Xenopus tropicalis: one gene and its partner. The protein of the gene in region 1 purifies or fractionates together with the protein of each later gene. This does not show direct contact. Links are inferred from orthologs where the notes say so. Each region holds a gene or a part of one and is shown in the gene's direction. Other genes may lie near its edges.

Region 1 (6,513 bases):
CTTCCTATAATCCCCTGGAGCCGACGCCCACACAGGGTTCTGGTTGGACAAACTGAAGGGACAGGAAACGGTTCTATATCTATATATATCTGCCCCCCATTTCTGTACATTTGTTCTGCCCCCAATGCTGCCCCGAGCCAGGTGGCTTCCTGCCCTGTCCAGAGGGTCCCCCTAAATGATTTAGTGGTGGATACAGGGTAGGGCTGCACAGTTAGTTCCACTGGGCCCCCATGGTATAGGGCCCGAAGGGACCATCCCTCACCTAATATGCAGCACTGGCCTCACACAAATAACAAGGTTATCCTGCACATTTATTGCGGTGCATGTGGCCCCTGAAGGCGGCGGTGCATGTGGCCCCTGAAGGCGGCTGTGCATGTGGCCCCTGAAGGCGGCGGTGCATGTGGCCCCTGAAGGCGGCGGTGCATGTGGCCCCTGAAGGCGGCGGTGCATGGGGCCCCTGAAGGCGGCGGTGCATGTGGCCCCTGAAGGCGGCGGTGCATGTGGCCCCTGAAGGCGGCGGTGCATGTGGCCCCTAGAGGCGGCGGTGCATCTGGCCGCTGAGGGCGGCGGTGCATCTGGCCCCTGAGGGCGGCGGTGCATCTGGCCCCTAGAGGAAGAGGTGCATCTGGCCCCTAGAGGAAGAGGTGCATCTGGCCCCTGAGGGCGGCGGTGCATCTGGCCCCTAGAGGAAGAGGTGCATCTGGCCCCTGAGGGCGGCGGTGCATCTGGCCCCTAGAGGAAGAGGTGCATCTGGCCCCTGAGGGCGGCGGTGCATCTGGCCCCTAGAGGAAGAGGTGCATCTGGCCCCTGAGGGCGGCGGTGCATCTGGCCCCTAGAGGAAGAGGTGCATCTGACCCCTGAAGGCGGCGTTGCATGTGGCCCCTGAGGGCGGCAGTGCATGTGGCCCCTAGAGGTGGCGGTGCATCTGGCCCCTGAAGGCGGCGGTGCATGTGGCCCCTGAAGGCGGCGGTGCATCTGGCACATTATACTGTCCTGTTCTTTACCATGAGCTGAGTTTCGGTTGCAGCCAATCACGATGCCCGGCTGAGCAGTTAGCCGCATTTAGACAAAGCCGCACAGTTGGACGCGCACAGATTCATTTCTCACTGAAACGCGATGCATCTTTGATTTCCCAGGGGCCCATCTCTGAGTGCCGCTGAGTGTGAAGGGCACCGTGCCCCCCCTTATCTGAATGCCATCTGATGGGCACCGGTATCTGTTAGAGGGCAGACTGTGATGGTTTTGCTGTTGCGCTTAGGGAGCCATACGCCAGCCCTGTGCCTGTAACGAGACCAACCCAATATTTTTCTTGGCTTTTCTTTCCCTTTAAAGATAACATTACTCCTGGGAGCCATAGACATTCTTGGAAAGTTGGCAGAAAAGCCACATGAATAATCTCACCCCCTGGCACCTACCCAGGCATTGCCCTTATTTGCCGCCCTTTAGTCAAGTTGGCACAGCCGTACCCATCGTGCTGCTGGCAGCCAGGGAAACCACTAGCGTCTTGGAGCCAAACTTGCCCAGTGTGTGGCCCTTTAGATCGTTTGTTCCTTAGCTATGGGGGAGTTATAGTTCAGCAACATCTGTAAGGGGCCAAGTTACGTGTATGAGATGTTAAGGTTTGGCAATTGCTTTTCTAATTGGCCAATGTGCCTCCCTCCCTACAGGCCTTTGGTCAAGCGCATAGCAACCACAAGAAAGTAGCGGCCGACGGCGAGAGCCGCGAGGAGACCCTGATCCAGGAATCGGCCACCAAGGAGGAGTATTACATGAAGAAGGTTCTAGAGCTGCAAACAGAGCTCAAACTGTCCAAGAACGTAGTGGCCAACACCCTGTCTGAGAATGAGCGGCTCAACTCCGTGGCACAGGAACTGAGAGAGGTAGGTACCCACCTTATATTGTGTGTGGGGGGGGGTCTGTTATATTGGGGGACACAGAGGCGCTACAGGCACCCCCCCTTCATGAGCCCTTGGTCAGCTTTGGCCTATAGAGATGGGGCAAGATGGTGGCACCTAATAGTCTGTACCCACAGTGCGCTGGGAGTATGTCCTGAGCCAATGAGCTGCAGCATTAATAGCCCCTCCCAGGGACAGAGCATGTGCTGGGAATCCACAGAAAAACAAATGGGGGGCTTCAGGAGCATCTCTTGGGGCACATTTCCCTGCTAAAGGGGGGCCAATCAATAATCAATAATTCCCAAACTTTGGGGTTGGCTTTGCTCTATAGCGGGGTGACTGTTACCCCAATGTTTCTATATATCTGTAACCTTGTTATGGGCTAAGGGGGCCCAGCCTGAAGGCCAGTTAGGGGGGGATTTGGGGTGAGTGCTTATTTGTGCCCTGGGTACCCCTGGAACTATAGCGGGGTGACTGTTACCCCAATGCTATGAGCTGGGTGGGTGTGGGGGGGCTGTGCCCGTATATAATATAATTACACATATGTGTGGGGCAGAGGAATATAACAGTGGTGCCCGACTCCCTATATTCATGGCACAAAGTGGCACAGATGGGACTGTATAAGACTCAGACCCCCGCCCCCCCCCGCGTTACTCTTTGTATTCAGATAATGAAACAGTTTATTCTCCAGTTTCTGACTGTGGCCCCCCCCATTTGCCCCCCGGCGCAGCTAATAGCCGCTCTTGTTGCAGGTTTCCCTGATAATTGTGCTAATTAGCCGGGAGCTGATTGTTATGCTAATTCATTCTACATTAATTTGCACATATTGAAGCGTAATGTCAGGGCTGCGCCGGCGCCGGGCGTCTGATACTCATGCAAATGGGACGATGCGCTGGGGGCAGGACCGGCGCCCCCTCCCCATTGGTTATTATTGGTATCAGTCCCAGCCAAACATGGAGGGAAGGGGTCAGGGAGTTACCAGTACCATAACCCTGGCCCAATAGCTGATTGGGTGACTAGGGAACCTTGATACAATGTAGCAGAAGCCGGATAATTAACAGAATTGTGAAGGCGGATGCTTGCAGGGTATTGTGGGAAACGGAGTAGATAAACAGACCAGCTACATTGTTTCAAGAGTCAGAAGCAGCAGTGACGGAAACAGGAAGGGACAGGCAGACGGGGCAGACGGGGCTTTCAGTAGTGAGAATATGGAATACATTGATGTTTAGGTTTATGTCCCCTTTAAAATAATTACACATATGTTTTTCTCTGTGCAGAAAGTATTTCTGATATCCCCCCCCCCCCCCAAATCCTGGCAGTGTAAATCTGTAGCCAATAGGGGGGGGGGGGTGATGATGGGGGTTGTTCCTGTGGTGGGTGCTGTTCCTGTGGTGGGTGCTGGGGGTTGTTCCTGTGTAGGGTCTTGGGGGTCGTTCCTGTGCAGGGTGCTGGGGGTCGTTCCTGTGCAGGGTGCTGGGGGTCGTTCCTGTGCTGGGTTCCGAGGGGTTGTTCCTGTGCAGGGTGCTGGGGGTCGTTCCTGTGCAGGGTGCTGGGGGTCGTTCCTGTGCAGGGTGCTGGGGGTCGTTCCTGTGCAGGGTGCTGGGGGTTGTTCCTGTGCAGGGTTCCGAGGGGTTGTTCCTGTGCAGGGTTCCGAGGGGTTGTTCCTGTGCTGGGTTCCGAGGGGTTGTTCCTGTGCTGGGTTCCGAGGGGTTGTTCCTGTGCAGGGTGCTGGGGGTCGTTCCTGTGCTGGGTTCCGAGGGGTTGTTCCTGTGCAGGGTTCCGAGGGGTGGTTCCTGTGCAGGGTTCCGAGGGGTCGTTCCTGTGCTGGGTTCCGAGGGGTTGTTCCTGTGCTGGGTTCCGAGGGGTTGTTCCTGTGCTGGGTTCCGAGGGGTTGTTCCTGTGCTGGGTTCCGAGGGGTTGTTCCTGTGCTGGGTTCCGAGGGGTTGTTCCTGTGCTGGGTTCCGAGGGGTTGTTCCTGTGCAGGGTTCCGAGGGGTGGTTCCTGTGCAGGGTTCCGAGGGTCGTTCCTGTGCAGGGTTCCGAGGGGTCGTTCCTGTGCAGGGTTCCGAGGGGTCGTTCCTGTGCTGGGTTCCGAGGGTCGTTCCTGTGCTGGGTTCCGAGGGGTCGTTCCTGTGCTGGGTTCCGAGGGTCGTTCCTGTGCTGGGTTCCGAGGGTCGTTCCTGTGCTGGGTTCCGAGGGGTCGTTCCTGTGCTGGGTTCCGAGGGGTCGTTCCTGTGCTGGGTTCCGAGGGGTCGTTCCTGTGCTGGGTTCCGAGGGGTCGTTCCTGTGCTGGGTTCCGAGGGGTCGTTCCTGTGCTGGGTTCCGAGGGGTCGTTCCTGTGCTGGGTTCCGAGGGGTCGTTCCTGTGCTGGGTTCCGAGGGGTCGTTCCTGTGCTGGGTTCCGAGGGGTCGTTCCTGTGCTGGGTTCCGAGGGGTCGTTCCTGTGCTGGGTTCCGAGGGGTCGTTCCTGTGCAGGGTGCTGGGGGTCGTTCCTGTGCTGAGTTAGTTAGGATAATACAAAGCACAGCCCCCCAAGCCCCCCAGCAGAAGCTAAGCTGGCCGGGAGTTTATTCGGCTCTGACATGGGGGGGGGGGGATCGGATATTTCCGCGCGGCACTAATCCTTTAGCCGGATGAGCAGCGACGTCCTGACTGCGAGTTAATTACCAACGATCAGTCCCTTTCCTTAACGAGCGAACTGTTAAACGATTTAAGCACCTCGCTATGGAACATGTAATTAAGCCCAGTAACTAATTCTCTCCTATTGGGGTTTCTCCCTGAGGATGATGGGAGTTGTAGTTGTAGCAACAGGGCCCACTTGGTACAGTTCTCATTGGTTGGTGGGATTAAACCATTAAATTGAAATGAATGGCTAAAGGTGTGGCGGAGAGAATCCTGGTTGGTGAGTGATTGCCTGGCACAGCAGGGCAGGGATTGTGCTGCGGGCGTGAGGAAATCCCCACCAGAGGGTGCTGTTCTGTTACAGTCTAGGGAAGGGCTCACACTACTCCTTGTTTTATATTAAGTTCCCATTAATATAATAAGTGGGAGAGACTCCCCGACACCCTTCTGTTGGTGAATTTTTCACATACTTTTTGCCACTGGACCTGCAGGTTGATGGGATGGGGCCCCCGGGGGAATTCCTGAGGGCGATTGGCATCTTTATTGGGGGGCTCAGTGAAGTGACTTGGGATACAAAGGAGGGACACGGCTGGGATCCTAATGAGCCGAATCTGGCGGCTGCACCGGCTGGGGCTGTTTGGTGACTGATGCACTAAGGTATGCCAAGGGCTGCGGGGAGTTGTAGGGAGGGGGCTCACAGGGTAACTGCCTGCATGTGCTGCTTGTGAACAGAGATGGATTATTTGTAGCAAAAGGGACTTTCTGGGGCCCCAACTGCCCAAGTAGGAACTGTGGCCTCTCCAGCCAGAAACTCCCAGCACATATATATATATGTGTGTTACTGTGCCAGCTTCCCTGCTGCCAGCTTCTTTCACAGCAATAGATTGCCCCGCTGTAACCAGCCTGCCCTGTCTGACCCCCATACCCAGCCACCTGCCCCCCCCCATACCCAGCCTGCCCTGCCTGACCCCCGTACCCAGCCACCTGCCCCCCCCATACCCAGCCTGCCCTGTCTGACCCCCGTACCCAGCCTGCCCTGTCTGACCCCCGTACCCAGCCTGCCCTGTCTGACCCCCGTACCCAGCCTGCCCTGTCTGACCCCCGTACCCAGCCTGCCCTGCCTGACCCCCGTACCCAGCCTGCCCTGCCTGACCCCCGTACCCAGCCTGCCCTGTCTGACCCCCGTACCCAGCCTGCCCTGTCTGACCCCCGTACCCAGCCTGCCCTGTCTGACCCCCATAACCAGCCTGCCCTGCCTGACCCCATACCCCAGCCTGCCCTGCCTGACCCCCATACCCAGCCTGCCCTGCCTGACCCCCATACCCAGCCTGCCCTGTCTGACCCCCATACCCAGCCTGCCCTGTCTGACCCCCATAACCAGCCTGCCCTGCCTGACCCCCATACCCAGCCTGCCCTGCCTGACCCCCGTACCCAGCCTGCCCTGCCTGACCCCCGTACCCAGCCTGCCCTGCCTGACCCCCATACCCAGCCTGACCATAAGAAAGAGTGGTAGTGAAGTTATGTGATTTGGCTGCACCCCAGCACTAGAATGGGGGTGATGGGACACTGGCTCTGTTCCAGAGGGGGAAATGGGGGGTCGGACAAACAAGGAGCCGGGCAGGATGAGAGAATGAAGTCACGGAGTAAAGACAAAACATGTGAGAGATTTCAGGGAGTTGAGTCATCGCGTCCGACTTCCCTCTCCCTCCTCCCCCCTCAGTGGGTGCTGCAGCCCTGCCTGCCCCCCAGTAGGGAGACTCTATGACAGGAACAGGAAGTGGTGTGTGTGGGGCCGAGGGTTCAGGGAGTGCGACTCTGGGATTTTACATCCCACCATCTTGGTGTTTCAGGGGAGACAGTAGATTCCAGACTGGAACTCCCAGCATTCTTAGCCAGACGGTAACTAAAAGGGCCACGTTTTAGCCCCCCCGAATTAACCTTTTTTGTATCACAGGTTGTGCAGGGGGGGGGACATAGGGGTACATGCCTGCACCTTAA
Region 2 (6,513 bases), on another chromosome or scaffold:
TTTTAAACAGCACTCCATCACTTCTTAATGACATCATAGCACAGTCCACAAACAACAATCAATGCTACTTTGGTATTTTATTAAGCACTTATATATCTATATATACAGGTATAGGATCTATAATACAGAATATTTGGACCAAAAGGTTTCTGTATAAAAGATCATTTGGATCTCCATACCTTAAGTCTGCTAAAATTAATTTAAAGATTAAATAAACCCAATACGATTGTTTTGCTACCAATATGGATTCATACAGCTTAGTTACCATGAAGTACAAGGCACTGTTTTATTATTACAGAAAAAGGAAATTGTTTTTATAAATTAAAATCACTGTATTAGCTTAAAATGGCATCCACTAATTCAGAGCTTTCTGGATAATGGGTCTATGGATAAGGCATTTTATACCTTTGATCATATACCTTTGTGCTCACATACTCAGTGCTCACATACTCAGAGCTCAAGAAGCGTGATTTTGATTTATTTAATAAAAGTCAGTTTTTTTCTTAATTTCAGTTATTCATATTAGCGGTTGTTGTGTTGCAGGAAAGCATGGAGCTTGTCTACAATAAGTCCAAACCTGTAGCTGTGACTGGGATGGCTTTTCCAACTGGGGATGTGAACAATTTTGTTGTTGGAAGTGAGGAGGGCACAGTTTATACAGCCTGCAGACACGGAAGGTAATACATTTTCTATACTGACACTCAGGACATCTCGGCTATGGTAAGTGGCAAAAATACCCTTTTTTTTAAAAATGCCAATAGCCAGTTCTTTTACAGTGTAAGTGTTAAATGCAAAACAGTATACAGAATCCCTTTAGGTAATGCTATGAGAAGAGGTAAAGTGGTATGCCTAAATGCCAGCTTTTTGTTTACAAAGTCCTTGGTAGTGATGAACAATTTTTTTTCGCCAGACATGGATTTGCTGTGAAATTCCACATTTCGCCATTGGCAAATTTTTTCATGAAACTGCCACAAAAATTCTCCAAAAATTTGCAGAGTGAAGAAGAAGTTGCAAGCATGTCAAAAAAAATTTGTGTGTTAGTCGCATTTTGTGAATTTTTCACGCTTTCACACATTGTTCTGCAGTTTCACAAATTTTTCTCTGAAGCAAAACATGACACATTTGCTCATCACTATATGCATAAGGATTCTGTCACATAATAGAATTTTGTGAAGAAAAAGTACCCATACTGTATGTTCCTGTGCTTTTGGAATTATCCCTTTGCATTCCAGCTATTGATCTGCCAACATCTTTCTTTTCTTTTCTCTTTAACGGTTATGGGCTCATTTACTAACTATCGATTTTTCATTTTAAACTCGATTCAAATTTTTTCGAAAAAGAGAAAAAATGCTTTTTTCCAAGATTTACTATGCATCTAAATCGCTAAAAATCCAAATTTGACAATTCGCCAGATTAAAGTTGCCAAGTTCATGTAGAAGTCAATGGCAGAGGTCCCTTTACTTGAAGTTCATTCTTTGGAAACTTTAGAGATTTTGCTGGGTTTTGTCCGTAAATTAGGATTTTTGCAGCGACATTTTGAAAAATTTTCTCACAGCGACTTTTCCTCGCGAAAATATCAAACATCCAGAAAAATGAATTTCGTGAAATTTGAAAAAAAGACAAATGAGAAATTATGGAGTTTCACTAAATCTGCCCCGTAGTTTTACCCCAACTATTGTACCTCTATATCTTTAAAACCTCTTTCATATGGAGAATCTTATACCTTTGTGAAAAGAAGAACTTCCAAAAAAGTTTTTTACTGTGAAGTCATGGCTTAAATCATAAGGTCTACAAGTCAAAGGATATTGCTGGACTTGATTCAGTGGCAAATGTTTTTATTGTATGATCAATGATTTCACTAGGTTCACCATATAAAGGGAGGTTAGGAGTGAGGCAAGGACCAGTGATGAGCAATTGGGTTGTCAAAATAAGTAAATAAAGGATAAATAATTCTTATTGGATTGATAGGATTGTTTTAAGTCAATGAAATAAAGGGCCAGATGGGTTGATTAGAAAGCCTAACCATGAAGGTACAACAGAGACAGACGACAGTTGTTCCTAAAATACAGTGTTCTTTATGCAGCAAAGCCGGCATCAGTGAAGTCTTTGAAGGTCATCAGGGGCCTGTGACTGGAATCAATTGCCACAATGCAGTGGGACCTATAGACTTTTCCCATCTTTTCCTTACATCATCATTTGACTGGACAGTTAAACTCTGGACAACAAAGGTGTGTATTTATAATAATATGCTATTTTTAACAATAACATTCATTCACAGGTGTCTTTTTTGAGCATGTTGGGCAAGGAATGATTGTTACTACTGTTGGTATTCTTGTTGGACATCATGCAAATGAGTCCATAATGCTCAGGCAGTGACTGGCCACACAGTTGCAAAAGGAGAACCTCAGCATAGTTCTGTCCTATTACTGTCCCTTGGCTTAATTTTCAAGCACAAACTTGATGGCAGATTAGATATCTGGAGAGCAAAAATGTGTTCTTTGTTATATACAGGGCCCAGTCCTCAGTGATGGCGTCTTTAAGCTTCAAGATTGTTTATTAAACTCATGGAGAATTCCATGGATATTTGTCCAGTTACAAATATTTTAATATGAAGTTTAGAATAGTTGGAGTGCCACAGATGTCTTAACTCTGGCTTAGAGACCATTTTGAATTACAAAGAGTTCAGTATGATTTATAAATAATGGGTGGTGCTGCTCTGGAATTTCTTATATCTAATGTCTTTCATATTTTATTATTTCTTTAATTTATCCTAAAGTTGTTGCCATAAAATATGGATGTGTTTTACGAATGTAACATCTGTTATATTTCACTACAAAAGTGCACATGTGAATTTTCCAAGTTTAAAATATGGGGAACATATCAGAAATTTGGCAATCGTATACATGACATTAGGTATTTATTAGAAAAGGGCTTCTGGATTCAGTAATGTGCTGTAAGTCCAGTGACTTATCATGTACTAAACTGGAAACACCCAGAACACCCCACAAGATCTCAAGCAAACAGGACTGTTATAGTAAATGAATGTCTCCAAAAAGACAATGAAGACATAAAAACAACAACATTGATCTAAAATGCAGAAACAATCTGCTTTTATAATGGAATTCAAAGCTCTAATTGATAGCAGAGCATCATATGAGCAGATTCCTGACATAATTAAGCTACCCCCAGTTTGGAACGTTACCATCATATGAAAAGGACATCCAAGCATTTTGTGTTCCATGCTAGCTTCACTGATGGTTTATGTGAATTTGTAGATGTGGTTCTGCTGTAATAAAAATTCTGGGCAATTTACTTTATATGTATATGCCTTAAGGATTATTTGATAATCGGCAACAGGTGGCAAGGCAAATAAAGCCAAGTATAAGGCGCCTGTTTTTCAATGGCTTCGGTTGATTTTTTTCTGGGGAAAATAACCTACAGTATGAATATAGACCTTACAGAAAGATAGGTCAACATGTGATCACTTTCTATATTCCTCATTACATTTTTCTAGCGGGTAATTAGATTAATTACTGCATCCCCATGAAAACTAAAGACTATGGTCGCATCACATTCCCTTATTATGCACAAAGTATCTTTATCAAGTAATTTGAGAAAAAAGTTGCCAAAATATCAAAAATATCATAGACTTCAGCTTCTTAGCAGTACTACATGGAAGAGTTATGGAAGAGCTAAAGTTGCATGCAATGTACAGTATAGAACATTGATCCCCAACAAGTTGCTCACCAACCCCTGGTATAGAGCATATGTGATGATGTGATCAATGACTATCACTCTTGTGGCCTAACTATATGCAGATACATACCTTACTATGGATTGACTCAATAAGAGTAATAGCAGTGGCTGTCCTGTCTATAGGCTTCCTGTCTGTTTCTGGTAAAATAATGATGGAAACCTTATTGGTCCTTGACTTTCTGGTGTTATATTCCACATATCATTTACAACAGCAACTGCAGTATGCAAAGTATAATTTAGGGTGCATTGCCATGTTTTTTTTCCCACAATGCAGCATTTTCCCCATCATTTCTAGCATAAATGCATGTACAAGGTGACAATGTGCCTGACACAATTGCAGTTCAGACATGCTGGGTTAATACAGACTGCTGTGTAAACCCTATGAGGGTGGAGCTAGCTCCAGAGTTGCCCTGCATTATTAGGTATACTGTGCATGATTTGCGAGAGGGGTAGGAAAGAATCAGTGGCACTAAGTGCAAATATCCGAAAGTGTTGTCTTTATGTACAAGGCTTAAGTAATAAATGCCATTATTTCCATGTCTTAATAATTCTCTTGACATTCAGTGCCCACATCAATGTCTTTTCCAGCAGTGCACTGGAATGTTACCACTTGAGAATAAGACATATTGATACAAATGAAAACCACAATGTATGCAGTGAATTAAGGCGAGGAAAACAAGCCAGTGCCATCTTTGAACACTCATTTAATTGGGTACTGTGACATTCAGGGGGAATAAGTGCAGTCCATGGCTGAGCTAGACAGAACTGTTGTTACAATAAAGTTTGCATATTGTAATGTTGCGTTTAAGAGATGTTCTTTGAGCTTGGTTTTACACATGCACAGAAATGCTCCTTGGCAAATGTTGACTTGGAAGGAGTTCCATAAATGAAGAACAGAAAGGCAACATGGTTTAAATCAACAAAAGACATTTGTTCTGTGTTTCTGAAAAAGGCTGGATTCACTAAAGCTCATTTATTATTGTTAATACAAAAGAGAGGCAACTAAACAATATCTGTTATTACATTTCATGCTAAACTTACAGTTACATAGAATTCTGCTTACTGCTCTCCTAAATAAGTTAAATGGTGCCTCTTAGGACCCATCAATGGAGCACTTGTGCCCTCTGCATTGGACTAAAAATCTGGTGCAAGGTGTAGAGCACATTGGTATCTGGTACAAGGGAAACCTAACTTATACGCCAGCCATAGCCAGGTAGTAAGTAAAGCTCTCTTGCATGCTTTTGTCAATTGCACTGCCTAGCTTGCATGTCTGAAAGTTGAACATACAGGGATTTGAAGGGGATGCCCTCATTCACCTATCACCTGCTCCCTAAGGATACAGTGCAGCCAAATCTGGGAACACAAAGAGCTCCGCCCCATAGGGCAACTAGAAGGCAGTGTGAAAAGTAAAAACAAATTGAGCTTTGAACCCTACTGTTTGGGGCAAAGAAAATAAAATACTGTAAGTAGAACCTTAAAAGTATGTCTATGAAGATTCTCATTCATCCAGGTCATGATATACAGTATCTAGTAGAATTAAGTCTAAAACAACTGGACTTTTCTGAGTTTTTTTTCTTGAAAACGTTTCACCACTCATCCGAGTGGCTTCTTCAGTTCAAATGACTGGTAGGGAATTCCCCGGTATTTAAACTCTTGATGGTAGTACAGTCACAGACATCCAATCACAATGGTTCCATTGAACTTGTTCAGTTAGGTGTTAGCTGAAACTGACAGGTGTAAGAAGGTATGATCCAATCACAATGGTACCAGCTTTGTACTGTCGCCTTTACCCAGGCGAAGCCACTCCATGCCTATATTGACTCCCAAAAATACACAAAGAAGGAGCCCCTTTGAGGCCAATTGTCAGCAGCATTAACTGTGTGACTTATAACATTGCTAAATACGTGGCCAACATCTTAGCCCCCTTAGTTGGAAACACAGTACACCACATTCAGAACTCCATGGACTTTGTCAAAAAAGTGAAGGAGTTAAAGCTGGAGATCGATGATACAATGGTGTCCTATGACATAACATGTATGTATGTATGTATGTATATCTTTATTTATAAAGCGCTACTTATGTACGCAGCGCTGTACAGTAGAATTCATTAATACAGACAGGGGGGTTAAAGATAATGGATAAATACAAAGTACAACAATAAATACAAATAAATACAAGGTACAGTTGCAATAAGAGTCAGAAACACAAGATGAAGGAGGTCCCTGCCCCGTAGAGCTTACAATCTATATGGGAGGGGTAACTAACAGACACAAATAGGCAAATATAAGCGCTATAGGTCACAGTGGGTGACATTACAGTATAAGTATAACATCTCTGTTCACATGCATACCCACTACTGAGGCAATTGAAACAGTGAGGAAACGGCTGAAACAAGACACCACCCCCAGCAGCAGAACAAAGCTGACCCCAGAACAAGTTTGTTCCTTACTGGACCTATGTCTCAATACCACTTACTTCAAGCACAAGGAAGTTTTCTATAGACAAAAACATGGCTGTGTCATGGGTTCGCCTGTGTCTCCAATTGTAGCGAACCTTTACATGGAAGAAGTGGAAAAGAAAGCCCTGGACACCTTCAAGGGAACAACACCAAGTCATTGGTTCAGATATGTGGATGATACCTGGGTCAAAATTAAAGCACACGAGGTTCCAGCCTTCACCAAACACATAAACTCGGTGGACAAAAACATCACGTTCACAAGGGAAGATGTGAAAGACAGCAAACTGGCTTTTTTGGAC

Evidence for each region. The genes of interacting proteins can lie anywhere in the genome.
Region 2: the proteins of bicd2 (region 1) and dync1i1 purify together in Homo sapiens (affinity purification with western blotting; 4 studies listed by BioGRID and IntAct, with this or other methods). This does not show direct contact. The link is inferred for Xenopus tropicalis from reciprocal best matches to the Homo sapiens genes BICD2 and DYNC1I1.

What each region holds. Positions count from the first base shown.
Region 1 is NC_030680.2:150,869,738-150,876,250, forward strand, and holds part of bicd2 (protein bicaudal D homolog 2), read left to right. Parts: intron 1-1,667; coding exon 1,668-1,880; intron 1,881-6,513. UniProt on the Homo sapiens protein: Acts as an adapter protein linking the dynein motor complex to various cargos and converts dynein from a non-processive to a highly processive motor in the presence of dynactin.
Region 2 is NC_030682.2:33,434,648-33,441,160, forward strand, and holds part of dync1i1 (cytoplasmic dynein 1 intermediate chain 1), read left to right. Parts: intron 1-543; coding exon 544-677; intron 678-2,083; coding exon 2,084-2,228; intron 2,229-6,513. UniProt on the Homo sapiens protein: Acts as one of several non-catalytic accessory components of the cytoplasmic dynein 1 complex that are thought to be involved in linking dynein to cargos and to adapter proteins that regulate dynein function.